Struthio camelus: one gene and its partner. The protein of the gene in region 2 purifies or fractionates together with the protein of the main gene of each other region. This does not show direct contact. Links are inferred from orthologs where the notes say so. Each region holds a gene or a part of one and is shown on either strand. Other genes may lie near its edges.

Region 1 (9,620 bases), about 23 Mb from region 2:
CTTACAGTGTAAGGGACCAAGAAAATTATTGCTTATAAATACTTAATGTAAATTTCTGACTGTGTGCTATTGCACTTCTTCAGTTATAATACATTAAATTATAAACTGTAACAGCAGATATCTTTGAACTGCACAAAATTCACAGGAAAAAAAATGGCATTTAAGTTCAGTGCTCAACTAAAGGTAGTAAACCCGTACAATTCAAGTCATTTGAGCATGTGGTCACATCAAGATTATTCCAAACCAACTGTGCTATGACTACTGCACCACTCGGGTTTAAAGCACATATTTGAATGGCTCCACTGACTCCTTGCTTGGGGGGGGGGGGGGGCAGAAGCTTTATGTTAGTTCTACATCAGTCTTAAAAGACATTCTGAACAGGTACAACTGGTACAGGTCAGACCGAAGACAAGGCCAGCACAGGAAAAAAACTAAACAAAAAAACCCCAACTAAATCCAGAGCAGCCGTACTCCCAACTGGAGTCACACACAGCAGCCATTTAAAAAAAAAAAAAAAAAAAAAAGCGCAGCAGTGAGAAGTTGAGTATGTGTAGTTGTTTTCTCTAACTGAAGGGAAAGTACACCCACTTATCACTCTCACACTTTTGAGCGTGAGCTATCCAGGGTGACTGGATGTCTACTGAACTACTTAACTACCACAACCACTCCCAAACTTAACTTCCAAAACTACTCCCTACAAAGTAAGCAAAAAAAAAACTCCATGCAAGTGCATCGGTTCAAGCAGGCTTTCAGAGGCGTGACAAGCACTTCTAGCAATTAAATGCAAATTCTCCCTACCCTCCTTTGAGGCAACAAGTATATCTTAGGCAGAACTCTGGAGATCTGAAAGTTTGAAAGAAAAAAAAAAAAAAAACCACACAACACCACCACCACACACTAGTGACTCACTAGCTCCCACTCTTAACACAGTCCATGGTCCTTATCAAACATCCCTTCCATACTCCATCCTCTTCTTTCTCCTAATGCTACCACATTCTTCCAAGGTAGGCAAGAGACCAGAACAGCACAAAATACTGCTGGACGTCAGCACATCATGGATTTGTACAGCAGCACTATTGTTCCTGTTCGCTTAGTCTCTCAGTCATCTCTGAGATCAGTCATCTCATCTTAGTCATCTCTGAATGCGATTTCCCTTCATCACTGCTGAATACCAACCCAGTATTTTTGGGAAGCTATCATAAACCTTTTCCTCCCAAGACCTCATCCTTCTATTGCAGTGGTTGCCTCTGAGCCTACCACAATGCAAGTCTGGACTGTTTCCTCTTCCCACTCTTCATACACATTACTTGATTTCTACCAACAGTGGACTTCACGTTCTATTTTGTCATACAACCGCTTTGAGCCCTGCTATTTCCCTATGCACTCATCTTTACTGCTTTGAGTAATGGATGCCACCCTCACAAAGTGTTACCTCACTACTTGCAAGCTCTTCCAAATTAAGTACAAATATAGATGACCACCCAGTTCACTCATGCTGGTCCTCTCCACTGTGAGGGAGATCCTCTCTCTATCTGCCCTTGCGGCGGTACTGCCTCCAACACTCCACCAAGAACAGACATGAGTGCATCCCCCACACTCCCAGCATCAGGTTTGCCACACTCCTCTCCGGTGCCAAGGTGGGTGGCAAGCCTAAGGCATTACCTCATCAATGTATTTCATCCTTCACTGTCCTCAAGTAACTACTGGGGATTAGCAGCTTGCCAGGATCACACATTTTCTGACATGTCACAACCTATTTGTCAAGAGGTCAATTCAAGGCTGTGAGGGACTCGGAGTCAAAGACATGTCACAGCCCAGGATTTTCCCAGAAGATCTTCCAGCAGAATTTTCTTTTTCTTAGTGTGTCTGTGAACTTCTCTTTTAACGCTCTTTCACACACACCTGGACTGACTACTGCCTCTCTGGCAAGCATCCTGGTTCTAGTGTGTCCAGAGAGGGGTTTATTAGGAGTAACTTGCAGAAGTAATTCTAACTAAAGCTCTTCCTTTGGCATGCTTTATTGTAGGTTTTTTTTTTTTCCTTAAATTTGGCCTGCCAGTATTTATGATTCTTTCTATTTTCTTCATTTGGATACAGCTTCAACAACTTCTGAAGGTGTCCTTTATTTCATTTTAATAACCTTCTATACCCAGTCGTTTTGCTCTTCCCGCTTCCTTTTGTCCTCAAGTCTTGATGGAAGCACACAGCAAATATATGCCACCTAATATGCTACCTGTAAACACTCACAGGTTTGCAGCAGACTGTTTAAACTCTTCACCTGTCTTTTTGAGGCAATTTATTTAAAAAAAAAAAAAAGAGTACTATGTAAATGTAATCAGAAGTGCACTGAATCCTTTGCTTTCTGTTGTTTCAGGCAGCAAACTGAATCCAAACAAATCATTATCACCATTGCAGAGTAGGCTCTAGGACAAGGAGACTCAGACCTTTGAGCTACTTACTTCTCTTGGGGGTTCCCTAGCTAGCTGCCCCTGAGACAGTTGCTGATTACACCTTCAAATTTAAGTGTAGAATTACACTCTGAAATGACATTTTTGCCCAATTTACATGGAATTGGCTCTTCACCTCTCCTATGCTATATGAAGCCTGCTCATGGGAAGAGGTAAAGCCTTGTTTCTCAGTAGAGTTGTTCCCCCCACAGGCTGCTGCCTGCCCCAAGAGAGTTTTTTTTTTTTCCCCTCCTTTTTTCTTCTCCCCCCCCACTCTAAAAACCTGTTTGCAGAAGCCTAACAGTTTAAAAGAATCTAAGATATCCTCTATAGATAAATAAAACAGAGGTATGAGGTTCACTTTAACATTGCACTTGAAAAGCCCCTTCAGTAGTTTCTGTAAAGCACATACATACATGTAATGAGCCCTGAAAACCAAGGACTACTACTGTAAGTCACAGCTGCTCTACATATGTATTTATCCCTGAAAGATCCTAGGTGTTTTACATTTATTATCTATTGATGTTTCCGCTGCTTGTCAGGATACTTAGAGGAACAAGTATTAATCCCCCTTTTATTACTCTTATGGGGCCTCTTTTTTGCCCTCTTCCTTTTTGCCCTGTTCTCATTCAGTTTAAGAAGCTAACACAGCCAGCGCAGCCCACCCGCTGCTGGGAGCAGCGGCCACTTTGCTCAAGGAAGAGCTTCAGCAACAGGTCTGCTCCACGGTCAAGCTGTTTTCTCAGGTTTCAACAAGGTTAAGTTTAGCACCTCATTGAGATAAATACAATATCAAAAGCTACACAGATTACTTGTATTTTTCTTATGTTTCAGGATAACAAACATGTACTTAAACTGCCTAAGTGACCTGGTATTTCAAAATTGATTACAGCAAAAGTAGCACTTGATTCAGCTGCAAGTACCAGCACCGCAAATTAATTTAGAAGTCTGAGAGATGACACTAAAGCTAAGACATGTTTACAACATGCAAGGCATCCAAAAGTTTCATCCAGTGCACTGTTAGATGGTTTTTCCCTTATCAGTCATCCTCCTCCAAATATGAGGACTTTCCTCTCCCAATACCTATTTAAAGTTTGGTGAGTCTAGGATGGAAATACTTTCTGTGTCCTTGTAAAGTTTCCCCATGCAAGTTCCCTTGCTTTCCCTCAACTGCAGCCTGAATCCATCTTCACACTCTACTGAAACCAATTTTTAGCTTAGGAGATCAGAGCACTTTATCCATTAACACTGTACCTGCAATCATCCCATGTGCAGCACTGCTACTGACCACAGAAGGATTTTCTTTACACAGCTCTAAACTCATTTCTCCATATTGCAGGGTAAGTGGGTGTAGAAAACACACACGCATACTGCATTTATCCCTGAAGGAGATAGCCTAGAGGAAAATAACTTAAAAAGGGGGGGGGGAGAGGGAGAAAGAGAACAACCCAAAAAACAACACACCCTCAAAACCCACCTGCTCCTAGAAGTAATTCCCTTTGAGCTCACACTTCACATCTAGAAGTTATGCATGCAGTGCTCTATTGCATTCCCTTTGGCCTTTTTCCACAAAGCAGACAATATTAAATTCAGATGTGGCCGCTTCTCAAAGTACTTGGGGAAACAGACAACTTCTTAATTATGCCATGCTTCCTGACATGGCATAGCTGACTAGAGGTAGCCATGCCAGAAACTACACTCAAGACAGCTTTCACTTGCTGTGTCGTGCTCTTCAGATTAAGCTATTTTAGGACTTTCTTTAGGAAATGTTTCCTACAAGATTCGAGGCAGCAGCTACAGCTTTAGCTGAAGTTCCCACCAAGACGAGTAAGACGATCATGATCACAAGCTCCAATTTGCACATAGCTAGTTCACCACCCCTTGCCATAGCCTGCTCACCTAAAAAGACTTCAGCTTTGCGAGCAAGTTAAACTCAAGGAGAGTTTCTGTGCAAGTGTTGTATATGCTGCTGCGAGGGAAAAAAAAACCCGAAAAACTACCTTCAACTGCCGCATTTCCCCCCCTCCGCCCTCCTCAGACACATCAACAGGGAGGATACACAGTCTGATAAAAGGATTTTCTGCCTATGGGTCTAGGAAGGGAAGTTTTAAAAGAGTAACGAGCTGGGTATGCATCTTATTCGAATGCCTCTTGCTGAACGTACCACGCTAGATATCATAACCGCAATATACACATCATATTATTGAGCACATGAGACACAGCAGCAGCTTCGCTAGATCCTCCTGCACTTCCACAGCCGCCCGGCCGCCTTTAATCGCGAGGCAGGGAAACTCCCCGGCCTTCGCCGCCACCTGACTGCGTGGGCGTTTGTCTGCACCGCCGCCGCGGGCAGGTAACCAGCACCTGGCCGGCGGCCCGGCCCGGCCCGGCCCCTGGCAGCGGGGCTCACCGACGGCGCGGGGGCAGCGGCAGAGAGGCGCGCAGCGCGCCCCGGGGCGGCGGGCGGACCTGCCCCCGGAGCGGGAGGGAGAGCCGCCCGCGGGCGCGCCGCCAGCCCGCTGCCCGCCGCAGCCGCCGCGCCCGCGGGGCAAGACCCGGGGCGTCGAGGCGTCAAGGCGGCAGCAGCACCCCCCCACCCCTCCCCACACCGCTGCCCCGGCACCGGGCTGCGCGGCTCCGGGCGCACGCCGCGCCACGCCACACCAGGCCGCCGCTCGGGGAAAAACTTCGGCAGGGCGGGAGCGCAGGGAAACCCCCCCCACCCGGGGGGGGGGGGGAATGGGGAAAACACCTAGTTCTCTCAAGGCGAGGCGGGGGAGGGGAGGAATGAAATTCCCCTCCCTCCAGCCCTTGCACAGGGTCACCCCTCCTATCCCCCCCCCCCCCCGGACCCCATGGGCGCAAGGGGGAAGAGGCAGGCGACGCAGGGCAAACGGCTCCTTCCCAAGGGAAACACGTCGGGGCAAGGAGAAACCGGAGCCCCTTGCTCCGTGAGGCGAGCCCTGGGCGGGCAAACACCCCTTGTCCCGGGCACGCCGGAGGGCTCCGCGAGGCAGGGTCGGGCCGGGCGGGGGCCCCTTACCCAGAAAATGAAGTTGAAGCCGAAGAGCAGGTACTTGATGCACTTGGTGCCTCCTTTCACAGGCATCCTGCGGGCCGGCGGGGGAGAAGCAGCGAGCAGCAGCGGGGCTCCGAGCTGAGGACGGGGCGCAGCGCGGCTACTTTCCCACAGTGCCACTCCTTAAATCTGCCTCTCGCCAGGTCCCGCTCCGCTTCCCCTCCCCCGGCTCCCCTGCTCTTTAACCCGGCCCCCTCTCCTCCCTCTGCCCCTGCCTTTGCCCTCCCTCCCGGAGCATTTGGCCCTCCCTCCTTCCCTGCTGTGCATTTCGCCCTCCCTTGTCCACTCTCCGCCCTTTCACCTGCCTCTCCGGCTTGCTCTGCCCCGCCGGCACCTTTGCCAGCCCGCCGCTCCGCGCCCCGCGGTGCCCCCCGGTCCCGCGCTCCCGGCCCCGGGCTGCCGCCGCCGCCGCTGCTGCTGCCGCCCCCGCGCTGGGCTGCTGCGGGGCAGAGCGCAGGGCAGAGGAGTCAGGGGAAATAGTTCTCGCATCATCGAGAGTTGCTCTACCAGACAGTGATGAAACAAGGAAAGACGTGCAAAAAGTAGACGCATCCCTACGATACGCAGGCCAATACTTTGCCGATTCTTGCATGGATTTAGTTAAACAAACTTAAATGCCTCAGCCCAGCTTCAATGGGTAACTTTCTCATGCAGGATACACTTAACAACAAAGTTAACAGGTAAACTGCTTTAATCTCTCAAATACGTCTGTAAAAGTTATGAGCATGGAATTTAGAAAGATGAGGTTATACCAGCGAAGAAGATATGTTGCTGCCCGTCAACTGATCCACAGTAACTGTTTGTGCGTATGCCTTTATTTCACCCGGTTGTGAGACAAAACACATTAATGTAAATTTCAGTGGAGAAGTTCGCATTGATTTGAATTGGAAGTTCAGCCCTCGGCATCTGATTCTTACTAGGGTAGTAATGAAAACTGAGGGCCCATATCTCAATTTGTCATTATTAAAGTAATGACAGAAGTTATTGAGAGTCAAAAAAAAAAAAAAAGCAGAACAGAAAAAAACAGAAAAGCCACTGAAATGCAAACAAAAACATGTTGATGCTTTTGTTGCCAAAATAAATGATAACGTGAAATACATTCCAGAGCTAATACAGTAGAGGAGGGATTGAATTGGACATCAGTTTTGCAGAGAAGGTTGCAAAATATTGATATGTTTCCATTAGAAAACAAGACAGAAAAATACATAGCTAGGAGAAATTCAGAGAGAGAGCGCATACAACTGTACATGGGGAAAGATGGCAGGCTGCTGCATTGTTGTTTGTGAATCAGGCTTGGCTGTAGCTAAGAACCAAAATGGCCCAAAGGCCCCAGTGTCCCAAGGTAGGATAGTGGGGAGCAGGGTCATGTTAAATGATGCCTTCTTAGCTTTCTGCTGCTCTGATTCAGGGCCTTTGATTAAAAGACCATGTAGTACAGAGGGTCACGACCTTGACCCCGAGAGAAGGACAAATACCACTTAACCCCTCACAAAACGCTACCTAAAGCATTTGGGTTTGTTATGGAGGTCAGTAACGGGCAAAGGAGAAGTAGAGGCTGGCCACAACGGTATAGATCCAGAAAGGCTGATATTAGTAAATGGAGGTGACTAAAGCTCTTCTCCAGGGGTAACTATGGACTAAACACAGATGGTCAGTGAACGTACTGTGTTTCATTCTCGACTGTGACTAATTTTCTATATCACTTTTAAAAATTTCTCCATTAATAATTTATGCCTCCTAGTCAATGTCAGTAATGTTCCTTTTCTTAACTTTCTAAAATTTTTGAGCGCTTTAGATAAAAAAAAACCCATGATATTATTAAGCTTTTCATGCTTACACTGTGTTAAAGCGGCTCCCATGAAAATCAGGGGTGGTAGGTACCTTTTCGATTAGAAGAAGAAATGGACCTGATGGATCAAAACATCCTGTGAGTTTGTACTTACTGAAATCCAAAGTTTCCCTGCTCACCCAGGAAATTAATTTATTAAAAGATGGAACTGATGTATTTGTTTTTAGTATGAATAGCAAGATACTGCTAGCAAACAGTGTGGGTTTTTTTGTGTTTATTTCCTGATTACTGATTAGGTTTCATGATCCAAATGGTTGGACTAAACTTGTAAGAAACTGTATACAGAGAGGGAAAAGCCCAATCTTTTGTCTTTACATCTTCAAAGTTATTAGCAATGCATTACTAAAAGGAGAGGTATGTTTTAGGGTTTGAATAAAAAACTGTAATGTAAGTGACATAAATTGAACTTAAGGATATGGAATGGAAAGAGTTAGAATCCATGCTTATCTCCTTTTTTTCTTTCTTTATGAGGGTAAGGAGAGGACATTCATATTTCAGCCTTTGAGCGTGTAGTTCTGCCATTACTCTCTGAAAGTAATCTGAACTTCTCTGAGCATTTTGGAATGAGATAGTAATCAATTGAATTTCTGTATAATAGAAATCACTGTTGGATATCTATGGCCATTATAAAATTATTTCGTAATGATTTGTTATTTTAAAAGCTTGTATTTACATGGGAGAACAGGCCAAGACAATTTGCACTACACATTTATTATCTGCACTTAAAATTATAATGGATGGTTAAAGTGTTATTTTCTCCTAGTGTATCAGAGAAGGGCAAATTCAGGACATTTCTGTCAAGGAGAAGTCCAAATTTACCAGAAGCTCTTTAAAATTACCTTTCTAATCATCTAGACAGGACGCTGACTTAGTTTTCATCTACAGATAACCCAAATTATTTTTTTCTATTTTAATTTGAAACTAAATTCAAATTAATTCTTGCTGTGCCACTAGTGAAAAAGTGTGTGCTTCTCACAGAAAAGCACCTTCTCCTCAGGCTGTGCTATCCAAAGAACTTTGATCCTTTGATTAATAGTGAGGGAAAACAGAAAGGGTTCCTTCGCCACCTGTATTAAAGGATACTGGAAACCACTAGTAAGTACTGCAGACGCGCACAGTCTTGCAGCCTCCTTGACCACTTTTCCCCCTATGTCTACCTTTGTGAATATATGGAAGGACTTGTGTCCGCTAACTCAATTCCTTTAATATTCTTTGCATAAACAGTTTCAGATTTTTTAACATGTTTCTTCCAGCTCCTTTCAACATCCAGGCACAGATGATTCTAACCACCGAGAGACAGACTGCAAAGCTTTCCTCAGTGAAGGATAGAGATTAACAGAGGTTCTTGAGAAGTGCAGAGCAGAGTAGAAAAATAATAACAATTTTCATCTTTGTAGAAAAATAACATCTCTTATTGTTCAAGCCAGTCACAAAAGAAAGAAAAAAAGGCCGTTTTGTTTGCCTTTTAACTTCAGTGAAATTTTTTTGCTTTGTAACTTGTGATTGTGGTACGCTCTGTCCAGGGCTGGAGGCAGCGATCAGGCGAGCAGAGGGGGCTGCACAACCGCACAGCTTCTCTGCTGTCATGTAGCTGAGAGTTTACAATGACCCAGACGACAGCAATGTAGGGATCTGCGGCCTCCTAATTCCTTTTACCCCTTGAAGTCCTGAGTACATCCATGTACCCCTCAGTTTAAGTATGTTAGTTCTTCTGATCTACTCCTTTCAGACAATTTTTAAAGATACTTATTTCTATTATTTTAAATGCTACAATAATTTGGAGTAGGGTGATACATGAGAGAGAGTTGTAACATGTAAGTTTTCCTGTTGGTTTTTCCCTTTGGGGCTGTGAGGGACAGAGGTTGGTCTTTGAGCTGGAGCATCAGGATTTTCATTTCATTGCAAAACTGGCTCATAGGATCAATCATCCTGGTAAGACAATGACAAAAACACTGTCCTTCTTTCACAGCTGAAGGAAAAGCGTTTGGACTTTGGTATCCATAGCAGCTTGCCTTCTGGATGACCTCATGCTCTTAGCAATTCTGTCCATCATGGAGGTTTGTCCGCCTTCTGACGTGAGAAAAGAGCTTTGAAGACTCCACAAAGCCCCATGAGATGTCATTAGAAATTGGGTCCTCCTCTACCACTGGAAGTATAGCTAGAAGTAAAGGCCTGAAGCCGGATAGATATTTAACTTTTCTGTTTTGCATACTTTTAAACTCAATTTTTAAAAGGAAGGTTTGAA
Region 2 (9,620 bases):
ATTCTTTGTGAGCTCTCTGCTTTTCCTCGTATATCTGTTCAGCTCCTGAGATTGGAATGACAGGGGGGCATATCTTTTCCATCCAGGTATGCTTGGAAGCATTTCACAAAACCAACTGTACAGCTTAGATGGTGTAGGGATCCCAGCAGCCACGACTGCAATGGGGCAGCCTCTTGCCTGCGACATGGAAGCTGTTTAACAGAGCAAGGCAAAATTTAACAGGAGTTGAGGAAAGGAAATGAAGAAGAGCATTATACTCGCTTCAAAATACAAAGGGAACCTAGAGGCTCAATGAAACCAACCAATGTGAGTTTGGCTAGCACACCTCTTCAGAAAAAGATCTTTAATGAGCTACCGAACCCAAGACAACACATCTACACGTAAATATCTCCAGGACAACGTTTGCACTGCAGTTCCCTTTCCCCTGGGCTCTCATGCAAGCAGTTCGGAAGCAGCTGACAGTCTCTGTCCTGCCCTTAAGCAGCTGAGCACGGCCACATCTGTCTGTCTGTCTGTCTGCCTGTCCCTCTCTCCTGTTGCAGAGATCCGATGGCCACCACACACTAGGAGCAAGGGGCCTCTCGAAGCTGAGGCAATAAGACCGAAAGATTGCTCCCCTGCCTAAGGTCTACAGGCAGCAACTTGCACTGCGCGCAACTTGCACCTTCCAGCCACTGCCCCCAAACAGGGTGCTGGGTGCTTGTCTGGAGGAGCCTTCTGAGGGGCTATCTGAGATGTGTGGGACTGTTAAATGCTGCTCACGCTTGCACCCTGCGCAGGCCTGCTCTCCTTTGCCCTCTGCTGCCCAGGGAATGAGCTGGACAGACAAAACAAGTTGTTTGTCCACGTTTGTCATGAGAGAAACTCCACAAAAACCTGGCCAAGTAGGTGTTGACGGAGTGCCGCAAGTAGGGAGGGTTTGCACGTGGGTTTCTTCAGGATCTGTGCGTGTTCATGTTCATATGCTTACACGTATGCATGTTGTTTAATACAACCCTTCAATCTGGATCTTTACCGGAGATTCGGCTGGTTAATCTAGTCACCCCAAAACGAGCGATGCCTTCAGCCAAGGCATTGTGCAGAAATCTAGTACAAAGAAATGTAGGCAAACTTTTCCGCAGCATCATGAATAAAGCATACAGTATCTACCCAACAACAACAACGTGCTAAACTCTGAAAGTCAAACTGGATGCCTTCCTGAGAAACAAACAACTGACCACATATTTACTTTGCGTCTCATAAATAAATATGGAGAAAACACAAAAACAGAAGAAGATATTTGTCTCTGCTTTATACTCGGAGAAAGCTTTTGACTCAGTCTGGCTTCCACGGCTGAACTATACAAAATGGAATTGGCAAGGGGAAAAAATGACATAATCACATACATGTAACAATCCATTGAAAGTAGGACACAGAAAAAAGAGAAGAAAATGGGCTTTGAAGCAAGAAGGTAGACTAACAGTGTGGTCAACTTGGGCCCTGTTGTTTCGGGCACCTGCACTGGTGATTTATCAACCGCAGAGGAATAGTTACCAAATTGAATGAGGGATCTCAAACATCTGCTTAAACTGTCACAGAGTTATGAAATGTATTTGAACACAGTTCACTGCAAGGCCATGTAGTGAAAAAGAAAGAACATCACTGATGAATGGCAGGATAAAGGTGCGGTCTTGGAAAACAGAGATGCAGAAAGAGACTTGGATATTCAACATGACAACGCCCTCCGCACAAGTTCTTTGTGCAGTGTTGATAGTTAAAGGTCTAATTCCATTTCTAGAGGTGTGAGAAGGGGAATACCAGGTAAAGAGAAGGAAGTGACTTTGTCTCTGTGCGCTGCACGTGTGTATAGACACAGGTGCCCAGGTGTCAAAAGGTATTTAGAAATATGGGAGAGTCTGAAAAATGCTACAGGGGTCAGAAACCAAATCTTATAATGTGAGGCTTCACAGAAAACAACCTATTCAGTTTAGCAAGGTGAGCTGACTGTGTATAGTTACTTATCCGTGAAAATGGGATGAGTGTTCAGTTTCGTAGACAAAGTCATAACAAGTTCTGATGTCTAGAAGTTGGACAAATTCAACCTTGAAAGAAGCAATTTTCTAGCAGTAAGGATAATTAAACACTGGAATAAATTAGTAGGTGGGGTGAGGCACTCAACACTACTTGGAATCTTAAGACAAGATGTGTTGTCTTTCAAACAAACTCACTTTGATCCAGCGCTGGGAAAAATTTCTATGGCTTGTAAATACAGGTCAGATTAACTGATTACATGGCCCCTTCTGTCTAGAAGTCTGAGTATTATGGGGAGGAAAATGGTTCCTACTAAACACTAAGTGAACAAGTCAGTTTACACTTGAGGATACTGCACACCACAGCTCAGAGTTTTACCTGTATTTTTCACCAATTAACAATGCAAAGCAATGGTGAAGTAGACCCCTGTATCCAACTTTGACCGTGAATGCACTGGCAAATTCCAAGCTGGGCAGTCATAAGGAAAAGCTTTCCAATGACATAAGGAAAATAAAATTAAGTCGATCTCTTGGAGAAAGTTACTGCTTGTAACTGTTCAGCAGTTTAATTCAGGTCTTGAATTGGTAATCCTAAACGGGCAACAGACCACAGGAAATACAAAGCACAGAGCAAACAGGAGCCGGGGCTCCTGCAAATACAGCGGGCTTGTGCATACAGTGAACTTTACATCCATGACTACATTTATACGTACCTATTACCATCACTGGCACAAGGCTGGAGAGGCACAAGGGGATTTATTTTCAGGGCTGAAGTTTGATGAAGCCTCAGTAGTTTAACCAGAATGACACAGGCATACGAGTAAGGGGGAGAGATCTTCTCATCTGTTTTCCGAATGTGAAGTAAGTGACATGTCTTGGTTCACAGAAGTGATGTTTTTCAGTGAGGAAAAAAGTTTAGAAGAAAATGTATTTGAATGCTGGCCAAAGAAGGAGATAGAGCAGAAAAATCACAAACAGGCAGCAAGAGCAAACGGGCCTAGGAGGATACTGTAGACCTAGATGCAGTCGGTCCTATTTTGTTGGGGAAACCCTTTCTCAATCAGGCCTGAATTTGGTCTTGTTTTCAGTTTGGAAGTTAGCAGAGCTTATGTCCCAACAGGGCCGAGTCCCCAGGTAGCCCACAGCTCCGGCTTTGCAAAGGTACCTGACGTGTTCAGGTAATCGTGGCTGCAGGGCCAAAGTGTTCCTAATCAAGGGTCTGGCTTCAATCGTATCGGTTAACACCCTCTCCTCGGCAGCCAAGCATTAGAAGATAACAAAGTCCAATCTAAAATCCGCTCTGGTAGTCGTTCTCAGTTATGAAGGCAGTACTTACTTCCTGCTAATGGAAGCAAACAACCTCACCCGAAGCAGGGCATGCCAGGTGTGTGGAGATGCCGAAACACAGCCAAAACCAGCACACACGCCGCAGGAGGAGCAGCTCCAAACCCCGTGAGGGCCGCGGAGACCATCCATGTTGCGAAACGTGTAACATGGAGCTAGCTCCACCAAACAACAGAAAATCGGGTAGCCTAAAGGAAACTGGGGGAGTTACAGAGCAAAAAACACAAATGCACACAGGGAGAGCGCCAAATTTGCAGTTAATGTGGTGAGGGGATTGAGACGACAGATACTGTCCAGATGACTAGAGAGCACGCAAGCTCCTCAATTCTCTGTTTTTGCAAACAAACAGGAAATTAAATCTCCGAGCAAACAAAAACCTCTGCAGCCAGACCAGGAAGGACAGCGGCGGTGGCACTAATGCTGCAGCCTGTCACTGAATTAAGAAGGGACGCAGGCAGCGAAGGAGAAACCGCAACCACCACGTGCCTGCAGCGAGGTGTCGAGCGATGGCCCCTTCCCAACGCAACACCCACGGCCGTGGCGCCTGCAGCAGCAGCAGGCACTCGCCGTGGCGGCGAGCGCCGCTGGCCGGACTGCGCCAAGGAGCGGGCAGGGGACAGGGCAGCCCCCGCGCTGAGGCCGGCGGCTGCGTGGGGACAGGAGACACGGGTGGGACCCAAGTATCTGCGGGAGGGGGGCGGTGCAGGCAGCAGGAGTGTTACCACGGTGGTTGCGGTTTGGGAGATTGCGTGCGTGAGGGGGAAGGAAACCGGAGCGGAGCCTGGAGTCAGGGGGTGCGTGGCTGGGCGGGTGGGGGGGAAGGCCGCCTTTGGGGTTTGCGTGCGTGGGCAGCGGGGTACCTCCGCCGGGGGGTGTGTGTGTGTGCCTGTGTCCTGGGGGGCGGGAGAGCCGGGGGGGAGCCCCGTTTGGGGGGCAGAGGGCAGAAGCGAGCCCCATCTCCGTGTGACTGGGGGGGGGGGTTGCCAGCGCCAGGGCGGGGCTCCGCGCGGCGCCCAACGGCCGCGGGGGCGCCCAACGGCCGCTGCCGAGGGGGCCCCGCCCCGCCCCGCCGCGCGCCTCCCGCCTCCCCCCCTGCCGGGCGCGGGGCTCCGGCGGCCACGTGTGTGCGGAGGCAGCGGCCCCCGGCCGGGGAGCGGCGGCGGCACCGCCCTGCCCGCAGCGCGGCTCGGCTCGGCTCGGCTCGGCTCGGCTCGGCAGGGGGCTCCCCCCCCCCTCGGCTGTCGGCGGACGGGCCGGCGGCGCCTTCTCTCCTCCCCTTTCAGGGGGTGGGGGCCGGGCCGGGCCGGACCCCCGCGCCGCCCCGCTACCTGCGGGCGGGGGCGCGCGCGGGGGCGGGCGCTGGGGAAAGTTTGTGTCTGTGGTTGGCTGCGCGGCGCGGCGTGGCCGGTCGGGGCGGGCGGGCGGGTAGCTCCGTGCAGCTCGCAGGGCAGCGGGAAGGCGAGCGGCCGGTCGGCGGGGAGCGCGCAGCCGCCGGGCCCCGGGCGAGGCGAGAGGCACGCGGCGGGGCGGGGGGTCCGGCCAACATGGGGCGCCGCGGGGAGCGGGCGCCCTTCCTCCTCCTCCTGCTGCTCGGTGAGCCCGGGGGTGCGCGGCCGGGGGCGGGGGGGGGGGGAGGAGGAGGAGGAGGAGGGGGTCGGGCGTTTGCCCGCGGCCGCCTCGCCGGCAGGTAGCGGGTAAGGGCAGGGCAGGGCAGGGCGGGTCGTCGCCCGCGGGCCCAGCCCCGGCCGCGGGGCGGCCTCAGGCGGGAGGGGCCGCCCGTGGAGCCGCCTGAGGCGCGGCGGAGCCCCTCGAGGGGCCGGCGGGTGGCGGGGCCGCCCCGCCGTGCTGCGCCGCGCCGTGCCCGGCGGCCGTTTGTCAGCCGCCGCCCGGCCCGGCTGCGGCCGTTAACGGCTGGCGGCGCCCTATGGGGCTGGCGAGCCGGGGCCGGGGCGGTGCGAATGCGGCTGTTTTTCTCCCCGAAACTTTAGAGGGCCGCTAACGAGCAGAAATGGGGAGGGGATGCTACTTCGTGTGGCGTGTGGTCGCCTTGCGGAAGGGGCCTGCGCAGGAGGTCAGGGTGGTTCGGGGTGTCGGGCTCTGTACGGAGGTGGGGTGATGCTGGCAGTATGGCAGTAGTTGCTCTTATGTGACCTGGTGTATTGGGTGCCCTGTCTTTAGGGCGAGCGTAACGAGATCTCACGTTGCAGAGCACGAAGTGACTCATTTCAAGGGTTAGGAGGTGATCCCTCTCCTGTATGTTCCTCAAGTGAAATAACAGGAGGGGTCTCTGAAACCAGGGACAGGGACAGAAACCTGGACTGTGGTCACACAGGTGTTTCTCGGTAATGCTAGTACTTCTGTGCCCTTTTCCCTGCTCTTCCCCCACTGGGTTTGCTACCTCTGCTGTGAAGTGCCTGTGTTACATGATAACAAATATCGAGTAGTTGACATTATGCTATGTTCAAATAGTTGTGTAGTTGACATTAGATTAACATGTGGTAGTGCTCTTTACCACTGTCAGTTCCAGACGAGCAGCGTGCGGGAATAAATACTGGGGGCTCTTCAGAGCAAGAACTATGCAGAAGGGGGTGGGGGGGACAATATTTTTAGTGCATTCGTTTTGTTTTGCAAAGGAATGCTGGACACATAGCAATGTTGCTAACGGTGTTACTGAAGTAGTAGTGTATATAACCAGAGAACAAGATTGTCCAGGTAAGATAATTATGTGCAGTATTTAAATGGTGCTGTGTCAGCTCTGTGCAGTGAGAAGTACTGGAGGTGTTGGTAAGCGAGCATAGCCCACAAATTGTTATGTGCAGTTGTTGAACCAGGCCACTTGGCTAATTGCAGGTAGTAAATGGGAACCTTTTCCAGATTTGAGGTGGAAGGAGTGAGCAACCAAGCAGTCTCTTCCCGCCTTCCTCCCCTCACCCCCAAGAAACCCGTTCTGCAACACTTTCATTTAAACAAAGCCATATTAGCTAACCTAGTTTGGCCTTTTAATTCTGACATTGCTATGGCTAATTTTCCTTTAAACTCTGCGCTTTTCTTCATGGTTTGGCTGTTGAACCTTTCACAGAAAGATCTGCAGCACAGATAGTTAAAATTGAAAAATCAGCTTTCCAAATCTGGACTTGTACCAGTCTACTTCCTGAGGCTACTTAGAGGCAGTGAGGAAATCAGGATGGGGGATGTATATGCAAAAGTCAAGACCCTACCACACAGAGTGCTTTCTCTTACTTGCAGTCGAGGTTAGTAATCTCATTTCTCTTCACGATATAGGCATTTTGCGAGCTGGGAGAACAGTGAAGACCTGGAGAGAACACCTTTAACATTTCCTTAGAAACAGAAAGGGAATACAGTTTTTTCAATAGAATGGTTTAGTAGGACAAGTTGAAAATCAGGTCTCGCAGATACTGATTTTTACTTTTTGCTGCTTGACCTTGAGCACTTTCAGGATGAGATGCAACAGGAAAGTGTTGTGTTCTTCTTTCCAGACCAAAGAATTATAGGAACTTAAAATGTGCATATACAGATATTAGGCCACTGTTTGTGGTACAGTTTGTCTGAATGTTCTGGATTGCCTCCTGGGGATTTTTTTTTAAATCCAAATTGTGATATTCAAGTTAAAAGTGCTCTTGTGTCAGGTGGGAGGAAATTTTCAGTACTGCTTGAGATGTGTGTTGTGGTGTGGCTGTCTTCTGACAAGGTGGTCTTCCTTTCACTCTGGATGGGGGAAAAATGTGCTTCTGTTAAGGTGCATTTTCTAGCAGCTCTTTAACAGAGAGGCAGGATTTTTTAACTGATGCACTACAAGCATTCAGGAATTTTGTGTAAGCAAGGTGGCGAGAGGAGCTGAAGCACAGAAAAGTTCATCCCTTGCGTGTACTTACGCTTAATTGCTTTGTTCAGATCTTCACAAAATAACCCAGCAAAGGATACAAATGCCTAAAGTGCTTGTCAGTGACAGATAAGAATGTTTTCTCCTCCTTTCTCCTGGATCCAGTATAGTTGTTACCAAAGAGATCTGTTAGTGCCAGTCATGTTGGTAAGAAGATGGTGGAGCCTGGGTTTAAGGCTTGATCTAGTCCCTCTTTTCTTCCCTCCTCTGGTGTGGTTAGATCATGATGACGGAGAGCAGCATGAGGGAAATTTGCACTACCATTGCCTGTTTTAGGTGTAATTTCATTATGCAGTCAACCTACATCATCAACTTGTGAAATGCTCAGGAAACCAAAATATCCTTCCTTGGACAAGACTTTGAAAAAACAAAGCAGTTACCTGGTGATTACCAAGGCTCGGGGAGGAGGGGGGAGGAACACACTGTCACAGGGAAAACAGTAAGCCTTGCGGCAACTCGATTTTTTTTTTTTTCTGTTCCTGTTTGAGATTCAAGGTAAGAATTTAAATGTAACTGAGAAAACGCTGGCTTTTGTTTATGTGCTATGGGACTTGAGGAGAGCAGGCACTCAGCAGATCTTGGGGGAAAGGCACTGATGATGTGTTTCTAGAAGTGACCTTTTTCTTATTATCAGTCAGGCCTGTGTGACGCCCTCTGTCCACTCTGATGACAGCCAGCTCCAGCACTCCAGATCCCCAGATGCCACGCGTATAGGTGAATAGGATTATTTCCTATCACTTGTATCTGAAATTCTTTAGATTTTAGAGTGGTTTTTTTTTAATTTTCTTCGGAAGCTACAACAATTAGTCATTTGAATCAAGGTTTATTTCAGGCTCTGCAATAGAAAGCTTTTGGCAATTAGTAGAAGTTATTGCAATCTTGAACTTCAAGGAAACGTGTGCTTTATTCTTTCTCCACGTTTGCAGTTTATGGGAAAGCATTAGGCAGTTAAAGAGCCTTAAGGTGTGAGGCAGGGAGATGGTATAACGATGAGTGCCCAAGCAGCTTTCAAGGTGTGTTACAGTGGAATCTGCTTCCTGTTTCCCTTACTGGTGTCTGGACACCTGCCAGGGAGCTCGTTACTGCTATTGCAGGTGGCCTTTGCCTTCCTTCTCTTGGAAGAAAGCAGACTCATGTCCTCACTAGTACTTGGAGAAGCAGCAGTCAGCTAGACCTGTGTATCTCTGTAGCTTTGGAGGTGGTTAAAAAGGTTCCCAGAGGGGAAATACCAACAAACCTGTCCTGATCTTAGCAGCTGCTGGCTGCTAAGGTGGTAAAAGCATGTACTGAATGTTGGAAATTGGCTGGTAAAGCACTGGAAGGCAGGTGGTGTTCCTGAGGAGGAAGCATTTTCCGTGTGGTTTTGCCATACTGTTCTATTTTCATAGGATGTAGACTCTAGGAAGATGTGAGACTTCAAGAAAGAGGGTTATAGGGAGTGGTTTTCCCTCTGCATCCCATGTTCTTCCTGGTTTGTGAAAGATAACTTAGTCACCCTTTCTGGCTCTCGTGGCGTCTTTGTAGGTTCTTCTCCAAGGCCACTCTTTCGATGTGGCCAGCACAGGTGCTTTTTCTGAAATTTCTTGTCCTTGTTCTCCAGGTTTCTTGATTGCTACACTTCAACATAGCAGCAGCTTGTGCTTTCAGCAGCCTCTGTTGTATTTGGCTTCAGTCCCTGAACTGAGGTATAAACCTGCCTGAACAAGATTTAAAGTAAGCAGTAGGGGTCATTCAAAAATGCAGTCACATGCTTGAATAGAAGAGAACTTTAAAAAAAAAAAAAAGATAACTAAACAAACAAGGAAAACAACAGGGACATCTGAGATTCCAGCTTTCACATCTAATAAATCTATGGGATTGTGTGGCTTTGGGGGCCTTTTTTATTTTATTTTATTTTTTTAACTTAGCTCAGATAATGTGGTTTTGCTCTCCGTAATCCTTGTCAATCACTAACCTGCAAAACGGGTCTGGATATTGTCTTAGTGAAGGAGTTACATATTGAATAAGATACTTTTAGAAAGTAAACGTTTCAGTTATCTCTTTTGAGATGACTTTCAGTGATAACATTTTTGTGTGTGAAATCCTGTATTTTAAGAGGAAGGGAAGAGGATAGATTATCAGAAAATGAGAAGTCTTTCTGACCTGTATGGAAATCAACCACCTGAAGGTTAAGTTGGAAAGGACTTGAGGAAAACAGTACTAAAGCTAACTGTAGGGTAAGTAAGGGTTATACTAGTGTATCTCAAGGTCTCTAGTATTCTTGGAAGAAAGGTATTAGATGGAGTATAAAGTAAGTGTATGTATTATAATACAAAGAAACATATCCTTTTAATATTTGGCTTTTGGCTTTTACTGGAGATTTGGCA

What was found. The genes of interacting proteins can lie anywhere in the genome.
Region 1: the proteins of PTGFRN (region 2) and CD9 purify together in Homo sapiens (co-immunoprecipitation; 8 studies listed by BioGRID and IntAct, with this or other methods). This does not show direct contact. The link is inferred for Struthio camelus from reciprocal best matches to the Homo sapiens genes PTGFRN and CD9.

What each region holds. Positions count from the first base shown.
Region 1 is NC_090942.1:83,039,886-83,049,505, forward strand, and holds the start of CD9 (CD9 antigen), read right to left. Parts: upstream 5,813-9,620; 5' UTR 5,557-5,812; coding exon 5,491-5,556; intron 1-5,490. UniProt on the Homo sapiens protein: Integral membrane protein associated with integrins, which regulates different processes, such as sperm-egg fusion, platelet activation and aggregation, and cell adhesion.
Region 2 is NC_090942.1:106,095,663-106,105,282, forward strand, and holds the start of PTGFRN (prostaglandin F2 receptor negative regulator), read left to right. Parts: upstream 1-4,798; 5' UTR 4,799-4,897; coding exon 4,898-4,946; intron 4,947-5,434; exon of another isoform or gene 5,435-7,968; intron 7,969-9,620. UniProt on the Homo sapiens protein: Inhibits the binding of prostaglandin F2-alpha (PGF2-alpha) to its specific FP receptor, by decreasing the receptor number rather than the affinity constant. Functional coupling with the prostaglandin F2-alpha receptor seems to occur.